Linked DNA regions of Mus musculus. The protein of the gene in region 3 purifies or fractionates together with the protein of the main gene of each other region. This does not show direct contact. Links are inferred from orthologs where the notes say so. Each region holds a gene or a part of one and is shown on either strand. Other genes may lie near its edges. The genes, in order: Necap2, Aak1 and Ap2m1.

The links.
Region 1: the proteins of Ap2m1 (region 3) and Necap2 purify together in Homo sapiens (affinity purification with mass spectrometry; 4 studies listed by BioGRID and IntAct, counting the BioPlex papers as one, with this or other methods). This does not show direct contact. The link is inferred for Mus musculus from reciprocal best matches to the Homo sapiens genes AP2M1 and NECAP2.
Region 2: the proteins of Ap2m1 (region 3) and Aak1 purify together in Homo sapiens (affinity purification with mass spectrometry; 5 studies listed by BioGRID and IntAct, counting the BioPlex papers as one, with this or other methods). This does not show direct contact. The link is inferred for Mus musculus from reciprocal best matches to the Homo sapiens genes AP2M1 and AAK1.

Annotation. Positions count from the first base shown.
Region 1 is NC_000070.6:141,075,905-141,079,653, forward strand, and holds the start of Necap2 (adaptin ear-binding coat-associated protein 2), read right to left. Parts: upstream 2,454-3,749; 5' UTR 2,401-2,453; coding exon 2,309-2,400; intron 1-2,308. UniProt on the Homo sapiens protein: Involved in endocytosis.
Region 2 is NC_000072.6:86,953,951-86,957,599, forward strand, and holds part of Aak1 (AP2 associated kinase 1), read left to right. Parts: intron 1-1,153; coding exon 1,154-1,308; intron 1,309-2,308; coding exon 2,309-2,622; intron 2,623-3,649.
Region 3 is NC_000082.6:20,534,704-20,538,357, reverse strand, and holds the start of Ap2m1 (AP-2 complex subunit mu), read right to left. Parts: upstream 2,879-3,654; 5' UTR 2,757-2,878; intron 741-2,756; 5' UTR 698-740; coding exon 624-697; intron 1-623.

The DNA.
Region 1 (3,749 bases), on a different chromosome or scaffold from region 3:
ACAAACAGAAAACAACAACAACAAAAAAGTCCTTATTACAGGGCTGGAAAGATGGCTTAGGAGTTAAGAACATTGGCTACTCTATCTGAGGACCTGAGTTCGATTCCCAACATCCACTTAGCAGATAACAAGGGTCTGTAACTTGAGTCCTGTGATACACGCAGACAAAACATCCATACATATACAAAAAGTAAATGTAAAAATGAAAACTGTAATAGCTATTCTTGGCAAGGCTGTCCCTCAGGAAGTCCTCAGAATCCGAAGCTCGTAACTGTTCCGTTATGAAACAGTCTTCAAAATCTCCAGTCATTTCAAGTTGTCCAAAATATTATTCTTAGCCTGTGGCCATTCAAAACTGCAGGCAGTTGGAGCGTGCTGGCATTCAAAACGCCCACACGCAGCCGCTGTTGCTGGCCCCTATTCTAAAGACCACAGACCTTCACCCAAGTGGGAATTCCTTCCCAGCTTCCTGTCCATAGAGGAAGCAGCTCCGGGCCTATTGTGTCTGTTAAGGCACTGTGATGCCAAGCTAGCGGGACCAACCGGCTGGGGGACCCTTGAGACCATGGAGGGAGTACAGAGGGACAGGATCTTTGGTAGAAAGAGTGTAAAAGTGCATGAGGGTCCGGGGGAGGAAAGAGCGGCTAGGAAGGATATTCTCGGCTGTATTCCAGGTAGGAGGGAACGAGGACCCTCGTCAATGCCTTCTTTGGCTCCTTTAGAAGGCAACAGTGTCGTCGTCAGCAGCAGCAGCAGCAGCAGAAGCAAAGAGAAACCCCTGAACAGCAAATGCCATGGGTACTTTCAGAAGGCTTTTCTGGGAAGTTCTAAGCAAAGCCACTGTCAGCTCTCTAGAACTCTAGCTGGCAGCTGTGGCAGATCCACATGAATGTACATCTTCAGCTAACAAGGCAGCAGGCTCAGTTTCTGTTCCTCTTCCTGGCGCCGCGGGCTTTAGATTCAGGCTAAGGAGAGCCCGAAAGGTTGAGTGTAGGGCGGGCAGCTTCCTCTGTATCAAACCAGCCTGGCTGGATACTTGGTGACCCCACCCTCCGGAGGATCAAGAGAAGCTAACCCTAGTCTACTGAACGAAGACCCAACAGATAGGGGTAGACTGCCAATCTCCGGTTTGATAACAAGAAAGGAAAGGGAGACAGCTGTGGAGATGATTCGGTGCAGATGAGCAAGCTTGAGGCCCCGAGTTTGGATCTCTAGCGCCTAAAAGCCAGGTCTGGCTCCAGCTACCTGTAGACCCTCCACTGTGTGGGGTGGGGCAGAGAAAGGAGTTTCACTGGGCTTGCTGAACACCTAGTCTAGATGAAAACAGCCAACCCCAGCTTCAGTTAGGGGCCACCTCAAGGGAACAACGGACATGAAAAAAGCAAGACACTGGCTGGAACTCCTGTGGCTTCTGCATGCACCCGCACCACACCCAGACACGCAAAAGCAAGCACAGGCAGCTGTAGCTTGCTGACCTCCATTCTTGTCATTTTAATATTATTTTAAAATCATCGCACCGACACAGTTAAGTGTTCTAAGATACCCATTCAGAAAATGTTATGAGCCTGTGTTACATAGCGCAAAGGGCAGATGGAGTTGGCCCTCCAACACATTTGTGGTACCCGACGACCTGTTTCCAAACAACTCAGACACCCATCGCCTTCGAGAGCCACCCAGCCTAAGTAGCAACACCCCACCACAGGGCACAGGACACACCACGTATTTTTCATCTTTTTCAGTTAGGGAAGGTGTCCAACTTTGTGTCTCCTCTCCTAGACTAGAGTCCTGGGTTCCCTTCCGGAGACACTCCGTGTGTTTACAGGCATTTGAGTTTATTTGCCTCAGGTGACGCTCACTCAAGACAAGGGCGGCGGTATCCTCCCAGCTGCAAGTATGTTGTGATCAGGGGTGAAACTGGGGTCAGGAGAGCCGGAGATAGGAACAGCGTCCCTGGGCTTCGTGGGACGGGTCCCCCAGATGGCCGGGTTCCCTCCCGTGCCCTCCCGGCGGGGATTTCCGCGGGTGGCAGGGTTTTCTGGGATCCCGTCACGACTGTCGGTTAGCGCTGTGACACGACCCGTAGACCCCGCCGAGGGAACCCACTGCGCTCTCGGGTCCCCAGGAGCTGGCTGCGACCGTTGCCGGCGTCCCGCTGACGGCTCAGGGCCAGCGACCCCTCCTAAGTCTGGCCCCGATTAAAGTAGCCACAGGGCTCCATCCTTTCCGCCCCTAAACCCGACAACCGGTCCTCGTCCCCCGCAGTGCATGCCGGGGCGGGGGACGGGAAGATTAAGCCAGGAACGGTCACCTGTAACCACGGTTGGTGGCCCGCGGCGGGATGCGGTAGACGTGGACCTCCGGCTTGACACACAGAACAGACTCGTACTCACTCTCCTCCATCTCTATCGCCCGAGCCCTCGGGACTTCCGGCTTCTCCCCGCCCCTTCAGGACCGGAAGTGATGCGACTCTATGACCAAGTTCTGTCTAGAGCGGAAGCTCCGGGGGACCCCCCGATCGCTCCCGAGTGCCCTCTGCCGGGCGCCTCAGATCAGACCGTGAAGCGATTGCTCTCTGCTGCTGTGGGACCTGAGAAGCTCGAGATGCCGCTGATCTGAGCCTAATCCCGAACCTGGTTGTAGTTCAAACTCTATACCCTAGACCAGGGTGGCTGATATGCAAGATACCCTGCAGCCCTGCCCTTCTGACGGAATGTCCTTGTCCCCGCCAATCCCAGAAGGTTCTCAGAGGCTTCTGGAGGAATCTCGCTCCACAACTTTTTATAACCTACTATGTGCGCAAGGCCCCAGTGGCTTAGCGCAACAGGAGTACAAATCAAAGTTGTGAACCAAAGTTCCTGGTTGTCTTTGCTGTGAAGAGACACTATGACCAAGGCAACACTTACAAAAAGAAATCCTTTCATTGGGGGCTTGCTTACAGTTTCAGAGGCTTAGTCCATGATTAGCATGCGGGAGAGCATGGCGGCATGCAGGCAGGCGTGATACCAGAGAAGCAGCTGAGAGCTGTACGTCATGATCCTGGTGGGGGTGGAAGGGCCACAGCACACAGGGATGGGGCGGGAGGAAGGGGAGCACGGACGACAGTGACCCGGGCCTGATACGGGCTTTTGGAAAACTCAAAGACCAAACCCCCATCACAGCTTTTCCAACGAGGACACACCTCCTAATCCTTCCACGAGGTTGATCACTTGTGAAAAGCTAGAATAAGGCAGATTGGGAGGCGAATTGATTTTGAGTTATCTTGACCCTCTAAATAGCCATTTATTGGCCACCTCTGTATGTGACCTAAGATCCTTGTGACTATTAGGTAAATCCTTTGGAAGGTACAAATGCCAGCTTTCACCAATAAAGGCTAAGAATGTCATCAGATAGCAAGTAAGGGCCATAAATGATGTTTCCCGGCTTTGCGGTGACTCACCTGCCTGAGGTCTCCACCAACGGTTTGAAAAATGCCTCGGTTTGATGTTTGTTTTGTTTTGTTGATTTTTTGGGTTTTTTGTTTTTGTTGGTTTTTTTTGAGACAGGGTTTCTCTGTGTAGCCCAGGCTGTCCTGGAACTCATTTTGTAGACCAGGCTGGCCTCAAACTCAGAAATCCACCTGCCTCTGCCTCCCGAGTGCTGGGATTAAAGGCGTGTGCCACCACGCCTGGCTCAGTTTTTTGGTTTTTCGAGACAGGATTTCTCTGTGCAGTCCTGGCTGTCCTGGAACTCACTCTGTAGACCAGGCTGGC
Region 2 (3,649 bases), on a different chromosome or scaffold from region 3:
TGCTAGGACGCCGTCTGGCTTGAACCTGTGCAGAATACACAGACTGTGTATGTTTGTCAGTCCTGTTGTGTCTGGAAGACATTTCCTTGGTGCCCTCTATCCCTTTTGGCTCTTAGAATCTTTCCACCTCCTCTTCTCTGTTAGCCCTGAGGTTTGGGGTTTGATGAAGACATCCCATTTAGGGCTGAGTGTCCAGTTTTACATTCTACATATTGTCCAGTTGTGGGTCTCTCTATTAGTTCCCATCTACTGCAATAAGAGACAGCTTCTTTGATGATGACTGAGCAAGACACTAGTGTATGGATATAGCAGAAAATATCACTAGAAGTCATTTTATAGCTGTGTTCCTTTAATAGAATAATAGTACTTGGTTTTCCGCTAGGCCATAGCCTATCAAGTCTCAGGTTCTTGGCCACCCGAGCAGTATCAGGCATGGGTTCCGTCTCATGGAGTGGACCTTAAATCCAATCAAAGAGTGGGTGTTTACTCCCCACTGTTTGTGCCGCTATTGTACCATCATGTCAGGCAGGGTTGGTGTTCATGAGCTCCTTTAGTTTGTGTTTATCTTAAAATGTCCTTATTTGGGGCTGGGGAGATGGCCTTGTGGGTAATTATTACTTGCCAGAACCCATGTGAAGCTGCCTACAGTAGGGCATGTGTTTGTAATCCTAGCATGCCCCAACCAGTAGCTGAGAGACAGACATAGGATAATTGCAGGAAGTTGACAGACAAGCTAGCCTGGTGTATGCAGTGTTGACAAGGAAAACCCTGTCTCAAACTAGGTAAAAGATGAGAACCAACACCTAGAGTTGCCCTCTGACCTCCACACGTGCGTCCTGGCACTTGCACGGCCCCCTCACAAATGACCTTGAATCTCCGTTGCTTTCCAAGATGGCTTTACTGGGTTTGGTAATTTTGGTTGAAGGTTATGTACTTTGTATCATTCTGTGCTTTCTTGGCTTTAAGGTTGTTGATGAGAGAGATGTTATTTTGATGTGTTTGCCTTTGTAGGTGAATTGGCATTTGGGGAAGTATTGATTAAGCCAATCCACACTGAATGTTTTGGAGGCGTGTTAAGGGCAGACATCTTGTGTTCTGCATATGCCCTCTATTTTCTCACATTTTAACAGTAGCTTTGTTTTTCCTTTTCTAGACTGACCGATCCCATTCCCACCACAGAGACTTCAATCGCACCCCGCCAGAGGCCTAAAGCTGGGCAGACTCAGCCAAACCCAGGCATCCTTCCCATCCAGCCAGCCCTGACTCCTCGGAAGAGGGCCACTGTTCAGCCCCTACCTCAGGCTGCAGGTCAGTAACTGGTTTGCAGCTTGTTCCAGTGCTTCTTGATGGTAGTGTTAGAAGGCACAGCCTAAAGAATAATGCGCTGAGCTGCCTATGAGTGTGTATGGCCAGTGGCAGTACAAGGAAGAACTTCTTTCTGTACTCGGGTGGATCACTAAGACCTCTGAAGCCTGTTGTCTGCATTTATTTTCTTATTGCACCTCTATCCACTCCACCCTATTTATCTTATATATTTTTCCTTGCTTTTAAAGAAACAAGGCTTACTTATTTTTGATAACCACAGAAGGATATTTTATTAATGCTGTGTTTACTGGAGTATTTATCATCTTTGTGTTCTGTTATAACAAGGGGAGTGAGCTTTTTTTCATAAAGGGAATTGATCCAAAACAAGAAGTCACAGACCACAGCCATCACATTTCTCACCAGGAACCATTTCTAATTAATTTGGTGGCTAGCCATATAAAGCCAGGCATGCAGATGCTAGTTGTGTAAACTACTCATAAATATCAAAGAATGCTTTTGCTGTTGCATGCAAGCTGGTACACAGACTATGTTTAGCTTCAATTGTCAGCTGCGTGTAAGGGAAACAAGAGGTGCTGACTGCAGAGCAAGGTGACTGAATGAGATGGAGGGTGAGGGAAACCCTCTGCAGGAGGCAGGCACTGAAGTCTACAGTTCCACCTGCCTTTGAAACTGTGGAAGCATGTGATTTGGCAAGAAGTGGAAAGCTATTCCGAGTAGAACATCCCAGATGGCAAAATAGTGAGGAACAGACAAAGCTTGGGAAAGTCTGCCTACTTCTGCCATTTCTTGTGTAGCAAATCACAAAGCCTTTTTAAATAAGGTTTTTCTGTGTAGCCCTTCCTGTCCTCGAACTCACAGAGATCCATCTGTCTCTCCTTCCAAGTGCTGGGATTAAAGGTGTGCACCACCACTGCCAGGCTTCAGAAAGCCATTTTGTCTGGTAGAGTTTTAAGCCCTTACATGGAGTTTATTTTCATTGTAGGACCCAGCAATCAGCCTGGACTTCTACCCAGTGTTTCCCAACCTAAAGCCCAAGCCACACCCAGTCAACCTCTTCAGTCATCTCAACCCAAGCAACCACAAGCTCCACCCACCCCACAGCAGACACCTGCTACCCAGACACAAGGTTTGCCCACCCAGGCCCAGGCCACTCCCCAGCACCAGCAGCAACACCTCCTCAAGCAACAGCAGCAACAGCAGCAACAGCCTCAGCAGCCTACAGCACCACCACAGCCTGCAGGCACCTTTTACCAGCAGCAGCAGCAACAGCAGCAGCAGCAGGCTCAGACTCAGCAGGTGAGGAGCTCTATATGACCCTTACTTTGTACAGAGGGATATTAGTATTCAAAGGCCTGAGAAGTGCTAGGATGACCAAGAGTCACTGACCAATGTCTCCACTTCTCCACAGATGTAGAAACTGAAGCATTGAAGTGTAGTTAATAACTCTCAGAACATGTCCTCAAGCCTTGGGGAATTTACCCAACTTAACACCCTGACTGACAGAGCTACTTTCTAAGGAAATGGGGGAGAGGGGAATAACAATGACACACTATCCAGTAGTGTCAAGGTTTTAGATGTTGCATAGTTTAAGTTAGCTTGGTTGGATCAGTAGCCAAACAAGGTTCATGTACTCTATTTAGTTAGGATATATTATTTTCCATTATTTTTACATATTTTTTAACTTTGAACATATATATTTTATAATGATTGATTTCTCTTTTAAAAAAATTGTGTGTGTGTGTGTGTGTGTCTGTGTGAGTGTATACATATGTATATATTTGGGCACATATACCTGTGAACACTCAGAGGCAAGAGGAGCAATGGATCAACTCTAAATGGAATTTAGAATTACAGACATTTGCTGGATACCTGGCTTGTTACATATGTGCTGGGATCTATACTCCAGCAAGCACTCCTAACCACTGAGCCAACTCTCTGCATGTACCTCCCTGCAGTGTGGATTAGAAAGACATAAAAGAAATGCCAAGAAGATGGGTCTAAGGTGCATTTTAGCCCCAGCCACTTGGGAAGCTAAGTCAGCAGAGTTGCTTGAGTCCACGGGTTTTTGGAATGAACCTTGACAATGTAGTGAGACCCATATAAAGCAAAGAGTAATAGAGTAAATAGAGTATTTGAAGGTGGCAGAATTTCTTTCTTTTTTTTTTTCCATTTTTTATTAGGTATTTAGCTCATTTACATTTCCAATGCTATACCAAAAGTCCCCCATACCCACCCACCCCCAATCCCCTACCCACCCAATCCCCCTTTTTGGCCCTGGCGTTCCCCTGTACTGGGGCATATAAAGTTTGCGTGTCCAATGGGC
Region 3 (3,654 bases):
TTCTGAGACTATTTATCTCAAGCTCTTTTGAGAAAGAAAACCAAGGCAGGAAGAAACAGAAGAGCCTAGCCTCAGGCTAGACAGTGGAGGATCTCTTAGCAAGCAGCCAGAGTGTGAGGCAGAGTGAGAAGTGAGACTTTAGGAGGTCTTAGGAGCTGTCCAGCTCCACCCAGATGAGCTACAAAGGCAGCATGACCCGCAGAGCACAGTAAGCCGGTTCACAACCAGGGAGGGCCCAGGAGAACTGAAAACAGCTGAGTCAGCAGACTACAGAGAGGTTTTAAGGGGATCTAGGGAAGGCTCTCAATATGAGAAGGATTTGAAAGCAAGATTTAGATGGATTAGTATCTCCACACACACACACTAACTACACCCACTGGAGAGAGTGCTCCCTTCTAAAAGGAAGACCAGGCAAAAGCACCTGGTCTTCAGCCACCAGACCTACCCCAAAGACACAGGGAGCAGGAAGGGCAGGGATTCCTAACCCTAGGGGGTGGAGGTGTCATTCCGAGGCCTGGAGCCTAGCAGCTAGGCCAGTGCCCAATGGGAACCAGGCTATATTGCATGCTCAGGCTGAGGCAACAGGGAGGTTGAAACACAGCATGCTCAGTCAAGGGACTTACCCGATGTCATCTCTGTAGACCCGGGAGATAAGCACCTCCCCCTTGTGATTATAGATGAATAAGCCTCCGATCATGGTGGCAGCTCAGTCTCTGTGACCCATTGCTCTGAGAACAGACCTAGGTAGGAAAGGGGAGGGGGGATTAGGGAAAGGGGAAATCTTTAGAACCCGTCCACGCCAATGGGGCTGTACAGGCCCGCCTTGTTTCCTGACTCAGTCCTCTAGCAAGTGACTCCCAAGTCCTCCGCAGCCCTCCCGAGGCTCCAGTTCCTGTTTTTCCACACTGGATAGGGGACAGCACTTTAAGAGTGTGAGGCCCGGGGATTTAGGCCATTTTTATCCAGCCTTTTCTGAGGGCTGAGGAAAGTAACCACAAGGCCGAGCTCAGCCCCCTACTGTGCACTCTCACTCCTGCTGCTTCCAGTGAGTCACAGAGAAGGCCTGCCTGCAGATGCAGGAATGGCGTGGCGGGAGGGATTACTCTAGTTGGCTTGAGCCTGGGCCTGCCACCAGGCATAACCTTTAGAGCAAGCATTACCCTTCCAAGAAGGCAACGGAGCATGACCCTCTAGAAGTCTACACATTCCAGGAAAGGGTGTGCAGGGTGAGGTGGGGCTGGGAGGGAAGAGGCCCTTAGGCTCTAACACAGAGCCAGGAAGGTGGCTGAAGCAGGCACATCTTTCCCAGGCAGAGAGATAAGCAGACAAAGGAACAGAGGCCCGCTTAATAAGTTCTTTAAAAGATTTCATTTTTACCGACACACAGGTACATGCCAGTGTGCTGTATGTGTGGAAGCTAGGTGTTAGACTGAACACTGCCCTCCACCCCTCAAGCCTGAGTTAGGGTGGTACTGAGCCAAATGACATGTGCCGGGACCTGAACTCAGGTTTTCTGGAAAAGCAGTAAGAACTCTTCAATGCTGAGCCCCTTTTACAGTTATTTCTGGTTACTGTCTTTTCAAAATTTCTAAGTGTGACAAAAATTAGGTCTGTATGTAGTAGCATTAATCCTGCCATCTAAATTGTGTCTCCAAATCTGCCAAGTCAGTCACTTCTGGCCTGGTGTTTACCAAGCAATGGGCAGGGATAACAGAATGCCTCGACTGCCCAAATTATTTTGGTCAAAATTAAGGTAGAATATTTGAGTAACGGGGTTAATCTGGTTCTAGATTTCTGGATTAGTCCAGATATTAATTTCACTGAGGTTAGTTTAACAGACTTTTTGAAACTGAAAAGTTAACCCTTGAAGCCCAGTGACAAGTCCAAAGAAGGTGAGAAAGAAAATGCAAAATGGAGGTTGAGCGCTGAGCAAAGGACCAAGTCCACAGGTATCAACCTCGGGTGGGGGATGGTGTGTGTGACCTCGGGGGGGGGGGCGGTGTGTGTGTGTCCTGGACGAAAATGCAATATTTAGTTAAGGAAAGGGTTAGCTGGAATTGCTAGCAAAAGACCAGGATGACCCCAAAGCACCAAATACAGCTGTGGGAGTCCCTAAAGGTCTCCTATGGCAAAGGTCATAGGAGCTTGGGAGGAGCGAAAAACAGCGAAAAGAGATAGACAAGAAAAAGAGAAAGCTGAGAGACAGGGCCTACTCTTCTGTTAGTGAAGCATAGGGGGCTGGTGGAGTTTTTCTCAGCTGAGGGAGGAGAAGACATCTAGGCCCGGGAGATGTCACCACGGGATGCGGGGGCTGTCACAGGTCTGAGGTACAAGAGCCGTGGGGGTAAACCAGGAGGATGGAATCTCTCAGTGTTCGAGAGAGACCTGTCACTGTCCAAGGGAGTGGCACCAGGGGATGTCAATGTCCTGGGGGATGGGGAAATAGGAAACCCCGGGGTTGAGCGGTTGTCAGGATTCTAGGGATGGGGCGCCGCGCGGCGTCTCCCGCTCTAGGATTCCAGCCCTAGTCTCTTCCCGGAGACGCCTGGCGGGTCACTGGAAGGCGTTGCTCCCCGCCCTTGCTGCAATCGCGCCCAAGGCACCCCCGCCCGGTTGTCTACTCCCTCCCGGGTCTGAAGGCTGAGGCCACTCCCCGGTGCGGGCAGTTTTCCACCCAGCACCGTGCAGGGCAAGGCAGGCTACCACAGCACCCTCGTCGCCTGATAAGGACCTCTAAGTCAAGCCTCCCAGCTCACCTGGAGTCAGCAGCCCCCACAAGGCCGGCCTGGCCACTCTCGGATCCCAAGATGTCCGCCCGCCCCCAGCTCGCCTGTCTGCTGCCTCGGCTTTCACTGCAGTGCTCCCGCCCCACCCCGCCCCGATCGCAGCTGCGCCTGCGCGCTCGCCTCCAGCGGCGACTACAAGTCCCGTCAGTCCCCGCAGCTTTCAAGCTGACACATCTGAGCGCCCTAGGCTCAACAAAACTACAACTACCGACAGCCTTCAAGACAGAGAAGACGTCAGCTTTAGTGCGCCTTGCAAGCAACACGTGTCGTGATACACTCCAACCATTGTTTGCTTCACTGAGAATCACGGGAAGTGTAGTCTCTGCGACCCTTCCTGTTCCTAGTTAAGTGGGGTAGCTTTAAGAGACCAAAGCTATTTGTCGAAACCAATTGTAAATTTTGAATTACTATAGTCTTTTATTGTCTCCAGATTTCGAAGACTGGCTACTTTACAAACACAACTTGGCATAAGCTTGTTACTGCTGAATTTACTGTTTTTTTTTTTTTTTAAACACCACGTTTGATTCTCCCAAACGTGTGTGTGTGTGTTTTTATATATATATATAAAATTTATTTGTATGTATTTTATATATATTCTAGGATTGGACTGATCCCTTTCTCAGGGATAATTATCCAAACAGAAAAGCTGGGAAGGAAGACAGCTAAACGTTAATGTTTTCCTCAGCTAAATCTGTGACTGTGGTGTGATGGTGACGTATGCCGTTAATTCCAGAGTTCTGGAGGCAGAGGCAAGAGCATCTCTGTGAGTTTGAGGCCATCCTGGTCTAAATAGAGAGTTTCAAGACAGCCCAGGCTACATAAGAGACCCCTTTTGCCCTCTACTCCAGTTTAGTTGGGCATGGGATTT